Linked DNA regions of Struthio camelus. Each later gene encodes a partner of the first gene's protein in a complex. Links are inferred from orthologs where the notes say so. Each region holds a gene or a part of one and is shown on either strand. Other genes may lie near its edges. The genes, in order: PTH1R and PTH.

Evidence for each region.
Region 2: the proteins of PTH1R (region 1) and PTH are in contact, whole or in part, in a cryo-EM structure (PDB 9JR3), measured with the Homo sapiens proteins. The link is inferred for Struthio camelus from reciprocal best matches to the Homo sapiens genes PTH1R and PTH. Residues at the interface, in NP_000307.1 of Homo sapiens: Val31, Met32, Thr33, Lys34, Glu35, Gln37, Ile38, Leu41, Glu111, Trp112, Asp113, His114, Ile115, Ile135, Tyr136, Asp137, Phe138, Arg146, Arg162, Thr163, Ala165, Tyr167, Val171, Leu174, Thr175, Glu177, Glu180, Arg181, Phe184, Leu187; in NP_000306.1 of Homo sapiens: Ser32, Val33, Ser34, Glu35, Ile36, Gln37, Leu38, Met39, His40, Asn41, Leu42, Gly43, Lys44, His45, Leu46, Asn47, Glu50, Arg51, Val52, Glu53, Trp54, Leu55, Arg56, Lys58, Leu59, Asp61, Val62, His63, Asn64, Phe65.

What each region holds. Positions count from the first base shown.
Region 1 is NC_090943.1:2,173,663-2,181,015, forward strand, and holds the start of PTH1R (parathyroid hormone/parathyroid hormone-related peptide receptor), read right to left. Parts: upstream 3,227-7,353; 5' UTR 3,142-3,226; intron 2,693-3,141; exon of another isoform or gene 2,520-2,692; intron 2,335-2,519; 5' UTR 2,176-2,334; intron 1,937-2,175; exon of another isoform or gene 1,800-1,936; 5' UTR 1,477-1,799; coding exon 1,402-1,476; intron 1-1,401.
Region 2 is NC_090946.1:25,615,743-25,623,766, reverse strand, and holds PTH (parathyroid hormone), read left to right. Parts: upstream 1-5,127; 5' UTR 5,128-5,214; intron 5,215-6,345; 5' UTR 6,346-6,350; coding exon 6,351-6,436; intron 6,437-7,176; coding exon 7,177-7,450; downstream 7,451-8,024. UniProt on the Homo sapiens protein: Parathyroid hormone elevates calcium level by dissolving the salts in bone and preventing their renal excretion. Acts by binding to its receptor, PTH1R, activating G protein-coupled receptor signaling.

The DNA.
Region 1 (7,353 bases):
CAGAGACGGGAATTTTGCTGCTGACTTCAGTGCCAGCAGGTCCGTGAAGGAAGGGGCTAGCAGGTGCCACATATCCCCATGAGCCGTGTCATGATACGGCCCCAAAGTCGACTACAGTCAGAGGAGATGCTAATCCAACCCCAGAACAGAAGAGAAACCTCATCCGTCACTAAACCCTCAGAGACTCTACAGCTAGCCTCCCAGCAACTTCTGGTCTTCTTTGGGCTTTGAAAGGTTTATCCATGCTTGAGATAGACAGTGGTAGGGATGGACTGCAATAGCGACTCTTTCCAAGGGGCTGCTGCTTCTCCTTCATCTATGAGATGTTTCCCTCCAGCACTATGCTGGATGTACTGGGGAAATGCCTACCTCAGCCCTGCACAAGGTCGCAAATAATTCCCACCAAACCCAGGGGAATGAGCCCAGCCTGACAGTCCCTGGAGCATCAGGGAGGACCTGGCTGGAGCTGGGATCGGGGTTAACCTGCTCCCCTCCAAACGCATTTCCATGCTCTTTGGACAGCAGACACCATCCCAGGTGGTGGTCATGCTACTTCCTACACCAGACGGTACTGAGAAAGGGCAGCAACGATGTTGATGCCAGGGATGGAAAAAGAAACCAAAGTGCATGTCAATGTGGTATATGCGCCATGGATTAAAATCTGATGGCTCACTTTGTATGACATTTGCCTTCACTTCTGCAGAAGGGCTTAAGAAATCACTCAAGGCTGCAGAGAGGGTCTGTAGAGCTAAGTCCCTTCCCCATCATCACCATCAAGACAGTTTTAACAGAGTTTAGCCCTTTTTACAACACTTGTCTCCCCCTGTAAAAAAAGGTCTCTATCAGTGTGTTCAGGAACAGGTGAAAATAGCCCCAGGTAGCAAAGGGTTAATACTACGTTCATTCTCTGGAGTGTAAACTATCTGCCATCCATGCACTGAGGTTTGGACTCTAAGGTTCTCTCCAAAGTTAATCTCAGAAAGGCACTGTTTTGCTGAGATTAAGCAGATTTGCAGATTAAAGAGATTAAATTAAAATTAAATCTGTCATGCTGGTGGGTGGGCCGTAAAAAGACTAAAGTTTCCCTTGACTTACTGGTAGGTGTCTTTTAAATTGTTCCCCAAATGCTTCCCTTTGCCTCCTCTCCCTGTCAAACTGCACACGTTTCTCTCTGGAGAGTTTTAAAAGTGATTCAAGCTCTTCTGGAAGCACAGACATTTTAATTTCATCTGGTGCAGCAACTCTGAGACCAGCTACACACACTATCTGCCAACGAAATAAACCATTGGTCTGAAAAACCAGCGCTCTGCCTTCTAAATCCCTGATACAGTAAATTACTCATCAAGGAAACAGCCGAACAGCTTGTTCAAGAATGTGAAGGGAAAAGATTCAGCGACTCACCAGAGCGTAGACAGAACTCAGTACGGAGCAGCAGAGGATCAAACCCAGACTGTGATAAACCAGATATGATCCCATATCCAAGAGGCTTCTTCCAGCATCCAAGATCTCTCAAGGAAGTAGGAGGACGAGAGGTCTTCCAGCGCTCCAGTTGCAGATGATTTCTCCTTCTCCTTCCCTCCCGCCCCCCCCTCCAGAATTTGTGTTTGTTTGATTGTTTGTTTGTTTCCACAGTTTTAGCCAGAAAGGCACATGACAAGAAACCCCGGTCCTTTGCTTCGCTTTCTCATGGCTGGAGATCTGGGCAGCTCCCTAAATGCAGTGTAGGAGCCCATGTGAAGCGGAGCAACTTCGCTCCCTCAGAGCTGCAGCCCCTGGTGCTGTTTGTTTTCCGTGTGCATCTGTCTCAGAGCAGAAAAATCACATCCATATGTCAAAACTGCTATTCTGTTTCCTTTTTATGAGGCAGTGGGAAGTTCAAATAATTTCTTTGTCAAACGCAAACACACAGAAAGAGAGAGAGAGAGAGAGAGAGGGAGGGAGGGAGGGAGAAGGAGTGAGAGAGGGGTGGAAGGGGTGGGAGATTGGAGAGGGTGGGGGAGGCTTTTAACCACTGCTTTATTTTTAGATCCAGTAATTTTATCTTTTAGGTTTCAGAGGGGTTTGGGGGGGGGGGGGGAAAGGCTTTTTTTCCTTCTTTTTTCGGCATGCAAACAAATCGCAAAGTCGAAAGTTAAAAAAAGCGAAAACTTGGAAATATTTTCACTTAGCAATTACCTTTTTACAAACAGTGGTACTCTTGGGGATTTTTGCTTGTATATTCCAGTGCATTTCAGCGCTCCACAATAGGTTTATTCTGCCAACCTTCCAGGTTGCAGTGTGTTTTAGTTACAAATAGGGATTTTTGCTTCTCTCTCCCTCTCTGTCTCAAAGGATCTGCAGTTTCAAAAAGCCAATTGAGCACGGCATGAAAGCGTGGGGCTGCAAGATCGCTCCCACCCCCACCCCCGCCACCCGCTTTAAGCAGTTTATTTTAGATCCTCGCTGTTAAAAACACACACACACACACACACGCACACACACACACAAAACCCAACAACAACAAAACGCTTTTCACTTACTCCGCGGAATTGTGTGAAATCCTCGCTTTTCCATTCGCCCGACCGCACGCGCACACACACAGACACACAGTCCTTGTCCCGCGTCCCCAGCACCAGTGTCACCGAAACGCGGGGAGGGGAAGGCGCTGCCTTGCGCCGTGCGCGCAGCGCCGCCGCCGCCCCGGGCCGGCCGCGGAGCGGTGCGCGCCGGCGGGCTGCGCGCTCCCGCCGCCCGCCCGCCGCCGCCGCGTACAGAAAGGAGGTAGCAGCATGGCTTTGGAGGAGGGGGGGGGGTGTAAAAAAAAACAAAGCAAAACAAAAAAACTCCAGGGACGGGATGGGGGGTTGCGTGGGGGGGGGGGGGGGAAGATCCAGGCTGGCTACCGGTTTTGGGAGCGCATCGCTCCGCCGGGCGCGGGGCTGCCGCGTCCCTATTCCTTCCCCCCCTCAACCCCTTCCCACCCCCCCGCCCCCGGCCCCGAAACCCCTCTGCCCCGCAGGAGGCTCCCGAAATTGACCAGCTTGTCAGTTTCACGGCAGCGGCGTTACTCCCAGTTTCATTCATAAAAACTGCAGGGCCAAAAAAAAAAAAAAAAAAAGGGAGACAAGACCCCCCCCCGCCGCCCCCGCTTCAGCCTCCCACCTCCAGCGTAGCCCCCTCCTTTTGGGGAGTTTTCTCGAGAAGCCGCAAAGAGCCTCCATCATCCCTTATCTTTTTTTTTTTTTTTTTTTTTTTTTGGCGTGGGAGGAGTGTTGAGGAGGGGAGGGGGCTGGAGATCGTGACAGCGATGCGACACGCGCGCAAACACGCACACGCCGCGCTGCGCTGAGGGCTGACTCATGGGGGAACTCTGGAAACCTTCGCTCGCCTCGGGTTTCTCGTTACTTTCTTTCTTTCTTTCTTTCTTTCTTTCTTTTTCTTTCTTTCTTTCTTTCTTTCTTTCTTTCTTTCTTTCTTTCTTTCTTTTTCTCCCCCCTCTCTGTTTTTCTTGCAGAAGCAGCGGATTTCTGCCGGGCGTTGGTGAGTTAGAGGGAGCTGAACGGCCGTAAGCAGGGGGAAAGAAAAAAAGAAAAAAAAAAAACAGAACGAAACAAAACCAACCAACCAAACCCCAAACCAAACCAAAAACCCTCTCTAGATCTGTCGCAGGGCAGACGGTAAAAACATCAAGTTTTCGCAGAGTGGAGCTGTGTGCATTTCTCTTTTATTTTTTGGAGCGAAGAGGAAAAAAAAAAAAAAGAGAGAGAGAGAGAGAGAAACTCTACAGTCGGTTTGTTGCTTTTTTTTTTTTTTTCACAGCCCCGTGGCTGTGAATAGGTGCCTTCAGCTAATTTTATGAAAAGGGGCTCTTTCCAAGGCTAAGGTAGAGTAGGGCTTCCTGTAAGAGAGAGAGAGCAAAAAAAAAAAAAAAAAAAAAAAGTTCGGCTCTTGATGCAATCTTTTCCTCCTCCTCCTTCCTTGCAAGCTCTCTGCCTCTCTCTGCCAGCCTCCGCGGACCTCGGCGGCTGCGTGCAGCTCAGCGGGGGGAGCGAGGCAGGTATAAAAACCCCCACGGGCTGGCCCTATCATTGGCTGGCCCTAGCCAGCCTGTGACCGGCAGGCTGGGAAGCACGGGGTCAGGCGTGCACCCCTCCCACCCCCCCCCTTCCCACCCCCTTCCCCTCCGCCGTGCAGGGGAGCCAGCTCGCAGCCTGCACGGGCAACACATGCCTCCAGTGAGGCAGTGCATGCGGCTGCGAGGCCTGCGAGGAGGCAGGCTGGGGGGGCACCTTGGGGCGGGGGGTAGTTGGGAGGGAGGAGGAATTTAACAGCAGTGGCAAAAAAAACCCACTAAAGCTCCCCCGTTCCCTCCCCCCCAGCTGCAGAACACTTCTAAGGATGTTTTTCAAGCTCTTGTGCTGTGGATTAAAAAGCTATTTATTGGGCAGAGGGGGTCAAGGAGGAGGGCAGATTGTTTCATTTTAAGAGCGTTTCCTTGGGGAATCCCCATGCAGGTATTTCCACCTCTGTTTGGGTTTCGTTTTTTTTTTTCGGGCCTGGCTCACTTCTGCCCACTGCACTCTGCGAGGGGTGTGTGTGGGGGGGAGTGTTGGGGGGGTGGGAGAGCCTGTGTCCCTTGGGGAAGCCGAGCATCTGTGCGTGTTTAAGTATGGGGCGGGCTGAGTAAATATGTACTCAGCGCTCTATAGTCTTTCTGGGGAAAAAAAAAATCTGCCACAAAGTTTCAGGGGCCCTGTCACGGTTTCTGTTCTTTCTGGGAGAGAGGAGAGAAGCAGAGGCGAGCCTCATATATTAAATTACCCTACCCCTCCCATCCCTCTATCACCACCAGAAAGAGGAGGTGGTGTAAATAAACCAGGATCTTATCCAGTTTGGGGGATGGCCACGTTTAGCCTGTGGTCCCCCGTCCATATCTCATCCCCATGTGCAGGGTGTGGGACAGGACCAGGGATGCTTCCAGGCTGCTGTTTCTCCCCCAGATCATTTAATGATTAAAGGCAGATACCACTGAACTGCTGAAGCTGCACAAGAAGGAAATTGTTCCCTCCCTCCAGCTCCAGTTTAAAGCCTGCCCGAGAAGTACAGCAGGGAAATCTGACTCTGGCTTTGTCTTGCTCTCATAGTCACCATGACTATAGGGGATGTTTTCTTCCATCCCCATTATCCACAAGCAAAATGAACCCACACCTCCGGAGGCCCTAGAGCCAAAGCTGGCCTCTTGCAAGATACAGTAGTTGGAGCCTGCTTCATTTCTCCTCACCCGTTCTCTTCTTGGTTATTCTAGGAGGATGGAAAGTGCAAAAGCTATAGCTCTTCTTTGGAGGGATGAGCATTCAACATATTGCAGCGGAATCTAAAGGTGGCTTTCCCCACATGGTAGCCATATCTCTCCTCTCAAACCACCCCGTGCAAGACGTGTGGGAGGAGGGAAGAGATACTTCTCCACAGCTCCCCAGTCCTCATCCCTCTTTCAGAAGCAGCCAGAAGAATAAATCTAAGGTTCAATTCACAGCTCTCTAGCACTCATGTCGACTTTTCCTGCTGTTGTGGGTGAGCTCACACCCACAGGAAAGGTCTTCTTGGATGCTGCTCTGCTCATCTCATAACCTTCTTCACTCTCCTCTGGGCAGAGTAGGTGTGCAGGAAGGTAGAGTTGAACAGTAGGACTGTAGGGGTGGTTGATGACACATATCCTCTAAAGTCCTAGTGAATCATGTCCAGAGACTCCCAGTCAGGTACCAGTGCTGGAAATGTGAGCATCTCCGCCATGCTCATGACCCCAGTACAGCTCTGCCCTGAAACAGCTTATCAGTTCTTTGCCCACATAAAAGGGGTCCCTGTCTGAGTCATGGTGTGCCGAGAATCAGACCCTGCAATTTCTGAGCCCCTTGCATCCTTGGAAGACTGTGATGTATGCAAGGTCAGACCAGAAGAGAAGGGTGAAAGAGAAACTGGGTTGCTGTGGTCTGGATTGTAAGTCTTCGATACAAGGTCACTGTGAGCAGAGAAGGAAGAATGCAAGAGCATTTTTATAGGCTCATAAAGGTTATGGACCCATTCAGTTTAGTGTTTTCTCTCTGACAGTCCATGGCAGTGCATGCTATAGCAAGAAGATATGGAGGTGCTTCTGCCACCTGCTCCCCCAGATTGAAGAAGAGATCTACAGCTCAGGGCCTTCCTCTGAGAATCCACAAGATCCTGTGGCAAGGTGTTCCACAGCTTAACTACAGGCACATGAAGAGCTACCTGCTTTTATTTGTGCTGGACTTGCAACCTGCCAACTTCTTGTGATAACTTTCTAGTTCCTGTGCTAGAAAAAATGATGAGCAACCAGTCCCTCCTCACCCTCTCCTGGCCACTCAGGAGTTCATAGACCACTGCTGTATTGCTCCTTCATCATTTTCCACCCTTGAGAGTCCAACGTGCTTCGCTGTTGCTTATACAAAAACTTCCTTCCTCATCTTAGATTATACATGCTGCCTTTCTCTGAGAACTTGGAACAAAGGGATCTGAATATCCTGCTATCCCCTGTCCTCCTGACCATGTCCCCTAGCCACATACAACCTTTCACCCTCTGCCTTTGGTGGTGGTGGCTGCCTCTATGTGTGGGGTGGTAGAGAACAGGTCTCATGCTGCGGCTCTAGTGCTCTAGTTCATTTGTGAACAGATCAGCACCAGGTAACCAGTAAAATGATTTTGTCACTCCCCTTCATTCCCAGATGCTGTGCATTCTCTCAGCCCTGGTTAAAAGAGGATCCTTCCCCTCTCTATGGACTTTTGAAGGGAAAATGATTTATTCTGTGTGTCTGGGTATCTTCTTTTGTTTGGGATGCTGTATGTCAGTGTGTAAGCTCCTTGCTTGGACCGCGAAGGATGACCTCTTCTCACCATACAAAGTAGGACTCCATCCTCCTTGGTAGATCTGTTCCAGGCTGGTGGCCCTGTCAAGGTAAAGGTAATTTGGACAACTAAGTTTTGTTTTGTTTTTCTTTTCGGTTGTATACGTGAATATGTATATAATGAACTAAGAAGGAATGCAGCTCTAAACAAAGCCTATGTGATGTTGCTATTTTAAGGAGACATCAGGAGGTGGTGAAGGTTGAATTCAGTTTCTCCAACGTCTTACACCCGAACCTTCTAAAAGTTTTATGTCCTTCTGTTGGTGTAAAAATAGCAGCAAAAAATGCACAGTCAGTTTAAACTGGCTAAGGATTTGGCCAGAAATGATTTCTACTGTGAATAGGTCCTATCTTGCAGCTAACTTTCACACAGCCCAATATTAAAATTCTCGTCTCCCTGGATTGTTTTCTTCACAGCTGGGTGAATGCTTCCTCTCTGCAGGAGCTGAAGTCC
Region 2 (8,024 bases), on another chromosome or scaffold:
TGTCAGTATGTACATGTTGAAAATAAACAAGGCTTTTCCTGTTGTTTCTGATACAAAATAGCATTGTTGTTACTGACCACTGAAAAATGTCTCTGTAGAGAATAAGATGTACCTCATCTTCATGACTTTCCTTAACAGCCATTGTAGCATTCCTCCAGGCTGTTCTGGGCTGCTTCATCAAGCTTCAGATTCTTCTCATGAGAGAGAGATGAGGTAAGCAGGGCTCTCCGTTTAGGCTTCAAAACAGCCATGTAATGCTATATGAAACTCTATGCAGCCAAGGTGTAGGGCGGCATGCAGAGAGCAAACACCCATACATTCATGATCATATCATCAAAACATGGCATGTCCATGGTAGGTCATGAGAGAAAATCCATGATAAACAGGATACCTCTGTTATTTTATAACTTGGACAAGTTAAATTCAGGGCAAAAATAGCAGGCGTCCATTCAGACAGCATGTGATCATGGTGATCAGACTATGTGATTCATTCATTCACTGAAAACTCTAGAAATAATCTGGATCACAGTTATCGCTACAGTGTCTAGTTTATCTACCTATGTAAGCAATGTATGTAAAGTTAGGTGGCTGAGATTAGAATCTGCCAGCTTTTGTTTTCTTTCTGATCCGCATTTAATCTGTCTTTCCCTAAATGTCCATTAAACATACACAAATAACACCAATACTTATTTTTCTCACAAAGAAATTAAGGAGATTCATTAACATTGTGATTCTCAGATGAAGGATGCTATGTAACTGGAGTAAGATATACTGGCAAGCAATTATTTCCAAGCTCATATTTCTCAGTAGCTGTTGTAGCTGCTGTATCAGGCAGATCGGGCACACACCGAAACTGTGTTACGCTATCTTTTGATTTTCACATAAGGCCATTTGTTGTTTTTCATCTAACAGGAACTTGACATGTGATCGAAGCTTCATTTAGTTGCAGGAACCCAATGAACACCTGAGGATACCCCACATTACTTACATAAATTACCAAACATGCTGCTGTGGTATTTGAAAAGCCACAAATCTTGTCAATCAAACAAAGATCTGAAGAGTTTACTGACTGTCACTTTGGATCTTCATTGTGTCAAGGCAGAAACATTCTTTGGACACATTTAGAAAGGTTGTCTCACCAGTCAACCAGTGTGTCACCAATTACTTTGTTCCCTTGCTCAATGACCTACTAATACTCTGTTAGCTACAGTTCTGGTTAGAATGCATTTTATCTGAAACTGCCTGCTGAAATAAGGAAAGTGGTAAAAGCCTGATTTTGTAAATAACATGGAAATAATCTGACTTCAGTACTTAAACCTTAACTCAAATTTAGAGGATTAACATCTCTACAGGAATATTAATACACCAGATTGTACAATTAATCTGTGAAAAATATGCTCTAGTCACTTAGGGTATAATCCTAGAAAGTACTCTGTCCTCTAACCATAATCCAGTAAGGTACCTCAGGATATGTTTAGTTTCAAGATGCGCTATAATCCCTTTTCCTGACAAAATGGATAGACTGTAAGAAGGAGAATTCAGTATTTTTAGAATATGGCCATTGTTCACCTACCTGGCTGTAAAATCTGTCTAATTGCTTCCCACTTGTTTTCAGTCCTGGAGTACGATTACGTTCAATGGCACAAATTCAAAGTAAGGTGGCATGCCTCCTGCAAATAAAGCAGCACAGAGATTTTTTCACGCACAGTTGGTTAATTTATCTACTCAATCTATAAGGGAAGGTCAGGGAATAGTATTTCTACAACTGGTCAAGGAAAAGGCTTTTCAGAGGAAAAAGCTCTTCTCTCCTACACTATGATTCCATCATCTTCAATTTTCCAGGCTTCTCCTTCAGAAGAGCCACTCTCTTGTTTGATGCTTACAGCTATAATGCTTGATACCACATATTAGCTATTATCATACTACAATCTGGAGTATATTGCTATATTGTCACACTTCATATAGCATTCCTTGTTTTTAGATAATGAGAACTCTCTCTAGCCTGAGACATTTGACTGACATACTTGAAGAAATAATCACAGACTCGAACCAGAATCTTCCAACCATGATTATATTTCAACCCAAGTCTCATAAAATGTTACCCACTCTCAGCTCTCCCTCTTCCAAAGGAAAAGAAAATTCAGTATTGATTATGCAACATATAAGCCAATTGCTTGCAATCAGCCTCTGAATCAGTCTCCTATGTCTGGTAGATACCTGAAACATCTAATGATTTATAGCTTCTGGACTGTTCTATTCAGTCGTATCCACTGCTTGATGCATTGGCTCATTGGCCTGCAGTTTTCAGAATATCAGAACTTGAGAAACTCAGAATCCACTGTGTTTTTCTTCCTCCTGTTCTCAGAGAAGCAAAAATTGTCCCCTATAGATCTGTTCTCTTTTGTGGGTACCTCACTGGCAGAGGATATTTTTGCAAGAAACTGTTGGTTTTTTTCACTCATATTTTGCCACTGTATTTATATACCTAGTCTTATATGTACAAAGGCTCATGAGATGCCTTTTTTGTAGCACAGATCATATTTTATTTTTTCATTGTTTTATAAGGGTTTATATACCTCCTTTATAACATTACTGACTACATATTTGGGTAGTCTGGTTTTAAGCTTCCCACTTAACAGCACTTCAGTAAGGGTTGGTGCTGGTTTCCTGGGTTCTGCTGTTCCATTAAGTACCTCCCAAAAGGGATCTGAATTTGTTATAAGGATGCTTAAGAAAAATTTGAATCTGTACATGAATCTCCATCTTTCTTAAGTATCTTCTAAAAGACCTCAGTACTATTTTATATTGACCATTAAACAGTGGATACATTATCTTTAAAGAAAAATGTTCACAATTACAGTATTTCATAAAATAATTACATTCATTTGGCCCATTATCTGACCATTATTATAAGGTATTATAAGGTATTATAAGGCAGCTGTATTTTCAAGTAATACCACTTCTGGATATCAGGGTAATAATTCAAAACAAATCAGTAATTTTTTTCTGCATATACAAATGCACTATACCAATTCTGTACTCTAATTTGAAGTTTCTGTAATTACTACCATAGGCTCTTTTAGTTGACAAATATTGGGGTATATATTTCATATTTTTGTTATTTTCTATATCTTCTCTCATTTGAGGCAAATAGCACCATTCTGATTTGTCTTCTGTATTTTTCCACACACAAAAATATATTTTAAGGATCAAGTTTAGCAATCTTTGTTTGACATTTACGGAGCAACCAATTTAGTACCTTTGAATGAAAATGACATTGAAGAGGAAATCCTCTTTCATCATTGTCATAAAGACTAGGTATGCAGCAAATAAGCTAGCTAAAATTACATCTTTTTTAAGGGTAGCTACTGTAACAGACTATATTTGCCCAAAGCTAGCAGAGCATTTAGAATTACAAGATCATGCTCTCGGTTTTATTCAAAGCCCTAGAATGGGGTCTCTCTTCAGGATTTACATGTGAGTTGTAAGGGATGCAAGTACAACTAAAAGTATAACCTCTGCAACCCAGGTCTGCTAATACTCATTTTGCAATGACTACTAATGGTTTATTACTAATTTTTGCTCTCAGTTTATATGAAAACATCTTTTTTTATATACAGACACTAGAATTGATAATGCTTAGCCTTTAATTAAAGCTTTGTTGTTATACGCGAGAGGTTCCAAATGGCTGCCAGGCCTTTGCAAGAGCGCTGCCTTGAGGCCTAGCTTTGAAGGTTTTGTGTATGTTTACTATGATTGAATCTAAAAAATGGTGCCTTTTGTTACCAATTGTGTAGAGATTTTTCAAATCCTTTCCTGGCATTCCATGTCCATCATATATTTTTATTTACTAAAGCCTTAGGTTACTATTGCTGGCAGCCAGACCAGGAATAAACCTCCTAGCAAAACTTATCGGCCCCATAAACATCTGTATGCTTTCTCTGCGTGTGGGTGGAAGCACATTGACAACTGACTGTATCACACAGGAAACCATCTCTACCCTATTTTCTTGAACTCATTAAAGTGAGTAGTTCCTTACTTCTTAGTTTACTGTTTACTGAGAGAATCATGAGCTCTTTTTAGAGCTTTGTAGAGCTTCTGCTTATAATATTCTTTCATTCTCTTTCCTTTCCCCATGAGAATACTGCCTAGGTAAACAAATATTACAAAATGTATCTTCTATCTTTTTGTGAAATTCTATAGGTATATCACATAATCTAAACAGTGTTTCTGGTAAAGCAATGATAGCTTCCAATAGTGTGCCAAAGTGTGCAGACGTAAACCTTTTTCTTCTGGAGAAACATTCTGGAACCCAGAAGAAACATCTAATATAGGAAAAGCATCTGGCAGCCAAAAAGCTCTTTCTTCATACGTATGGGAAGTATTGCTGATTTACACACGTTTAATTTCTTAGAGCGTAGGCAAAGAGTTCTATCTTTCCTTTACAAAATGAATAAAGCACTAATATCACAGCCTCTTCAAGTGCCTCCATTACATCTAGCTTGTTTGAGCAATTCAGGGATATTCATAGGCATATGTATGACAGGATAGCAAGGGTCTAGCATCATATTTTAAAAACTTTTTAGTATCACTAGCTATTCATTAAAAACACCTTGGAAATGATCCTCTATCACATTGGTGTTTCTGCACTTCTCCAGTATATTCTCTCTCAAAGAAACCTAGTATCAGATCTAAAATGACTACTCTCACTTCCCACAACTATTACAAAAATTAGCTTTTCAATATCTTGTGTTAAGCTTGCATTTGTAGATCATTAACCCTACTGCATAATCTTAAATTCTACCTGTCTGTATTTAACATGACAAAGCTTTCTCTGTAAATCCTTACTACAGCTTCAGAGATCAGATTAGCTTGTGCGCAAAAGCTACACATAATAGGGAATCTGAATTTAAAAGTTAAACTTCTTCACAGTTACCCAGAATACTTACTTTTTGCTGAGACCTTTCTTTTCTCTGTAAATGCCCAATTAACAGAAGCATCTGAGGGTGGGTACATGAGGGTCAGGAGGGTGTGTGTTGAGAGTGACATCAACTGAGACAATAAAAGGGCTTCTAAGTTACTTAGAAGCTCTATTTTAAAGTTACATTTAAGGGGTGCACTAGACCAATTCAGTAGTCTTTAAATATACTTGACATCAAGAGACAGTCAGCTGCTGACATACCCAAATCAGAAATCTGTTTAAGATAGTATCTGGTAAGTATACTTTTTTATTTCCGAGTTCTGACTGATTTTATCATTGATTCATTATTCAGTTTTTACTTTAGCTTCTTTTCTGACTATCTTAAACATATAATGAATATAAGATCAAACTATTTTATTATCTGAACCAGATTTGTGAAATGAAGAAATCTGAGAGAGTGAGTTAGAAATGTCTTAAGTGAATCCAACTCATGAATTCATAATATTGAGTTAGATTCACTGCTAGGAGCATAACCATATTCTCATGTAAAATATTGTGCAGTAAATGCTTTTCTGACCTAGAGTAAATCTGTAGAAAATACTACAAAAATTGCACTGTGGAGTTCTATATTTATTACGTCTCAGTTATTCTGTCACAAATTGCATAAATTATAACAAAAAGATGCCTTTTCTGGCTACCAATACTGAAAATCCAAATTGGAAACTGAAATTTGAACTGTTTTATTTCTCTCTGTTGAAGCATCATCAGTACTAAGCATTCTGCAAGTATATCCCAGGTGATAGTTCAGCTGATGATATACTGAGCAGAGTAGAACTAACACTGGCAATGCAGTATTAACACTGAAAAATGGGAGGCTCAATTCTGATTTCTCTTACGTGATTAAGTGGGGAATAACATAACTCAGTATAATTATGTTACTATGCAAAAATTGTGAGAATAGTGTCAAGTTCTTCATGCTAAAGAATATGCAACTCAGTGACACACAAGGAATAGATAAAAGAAAAAAAATTCATCTGCATAGCTACATACAAGTATTTCAACATACTTGCAGCATATCAAGTATAAATGATTTCTAAATACTAACAATTTTATTGGAAGGACACGGTGTTTTGCATCCAAGTGTCAAAGTGATGGGTATTGATATGTTGATGATGCAGGGTGACTGAGGCTGATGGAAGTTCTTATGACTTACCTAAGAACACAGTAAGTTGTTCACAAAATTAGTATTAGAAATAAAGTCTACAGTTACATTCCCTGCTCTCACACATTTTATGAGGAAAATATTTTTCAGCCACTTTTCTATTGTCTTTAACTTTTTTTCTAAAATAAATTTCTTTTGAGTTAACTAAACAATAAATATTTGAAACAACCATTTACATATGTATTCATTTCTATCTTTATAGACAAAATGACTTCTATAAAAAATCTGGCCAAGACTGCAATCATTTTATATGCCGTTTGTTTTTTTACAAAGTCTGAGGGACGACCAATGATGTAAGTACATTATTAAACACTTCTAAAGTTTGGAGGATGATTTTAGCTGTTCTTGAGAAAACGGTCAATTTGTCTGCCTGCACAGAAGTTTATGTCCATTTATGTCCTTCTATCACCACTTAGTTCTTATGCATTTCTTGAAAATAGGCAGCTGAGTAGAGGAAGAAAAACCATATAAGTATTTCCGTAGCTGTGTAAGTTGCATCCATTACTAGACATGTGTGGCATCTACACAGGAGGGCATCTTTATAAAAGCCCCAGTTCTGGGAGAATCTGTAGCCTGAACTCACACTTGCTTAGACACTAACATCAATTAGCCTTGAGACACAAATCCACAGGAAATCATGCTTCCTAAGCTATAGTGTTCACAGAAAACTACCTCTGAATAAGTGCCATAATTTTATTAATCAGTTACCTATTATCATGTAAGCCCTGAGCTCAACTCCAACAGCTAAAATAAGTGATAAACTTAACTTCAGTCAAACAGCATTGTTACAAAACAGAATTACTCCACATTTTTTGCTGCCTTCTCACTAATAAATCCATTGCCATTAACAAATCACCATCCACTCTCCTTCTCTTCTCCAGATGTCATTCCATCCCTTATAAATTAGAAAGATAGGTTCTACAACTCTGTATTGCAGTACCTTCCAAAAGTTCCCAGATCTGGGTTTTGCGTGAAGACCAAGAATTCAAGGAGGGTCATGATGAGTCTCTGTCTTTGCTTTTCTTTTGTACAGGAAAAGATCAGTGAGTGAGATGCAACTAATGCATAATCTCGGAGAGCATCGGCACACTGTGGAGAGACAGGACTGGCTTCAGATGAAACTGCAGGACGTGCACAGTGCCCTCGAGGATGCTAGGACCCAAAGGCCTCGAAACAAGGATGATATTGTCTTGAGGGAGATTAGAAGTCGGAGGCTGCTCCCTGAGCATTTGCGGGCAACAATGCAGAAGAAATCCATCGATCTGGACAAAGCTTACATGGATGTACTCTTCAAAACAAAGCCATAATGAAAAGAGCCAGAGTGCTATGTCTGTCCAAGTAAGCATGTGTCTATAGATCACTGATCAAGTAGGGCATTTTATTATTATTTATTCAAATTACAATAAGGATTAAAGGCTCCACTCAACATTGCAGCCCCACTGAGTTAGGTATTTCACAACCAAATAATAATAGGTAATTGCAGCCCATCCATGTCCATTACTGCTAATTTTTGGGTATCTTTCAAATGGCTAATGCATCTTATAAATTTCAATTTCAAATACAAAATTAAAAAACAACAACAACAACAAGGTTGAAAAATCATTTAAGATCAGTTCTACCACTTTTATATGGAGAACACTTGTATGTAATCTCTATGTCTACCTGAACTGCTAATGAAAAATGAATAACCACAGCAGAACCTGTCCCCAGAATAGGGCCCCATTTTGCCTAGTGTTAAACTGTTTGACTTCGTACTAATGAAAACATGTAAATCTATATTCACATTTATTTTCAGAAAAAGGCCTAAAATAATGCGCGCTTTAATTACATAGCAGAAGCTGCAAGATATCAATTTAAGATAAAAGAGAGCAAGCATAAGAA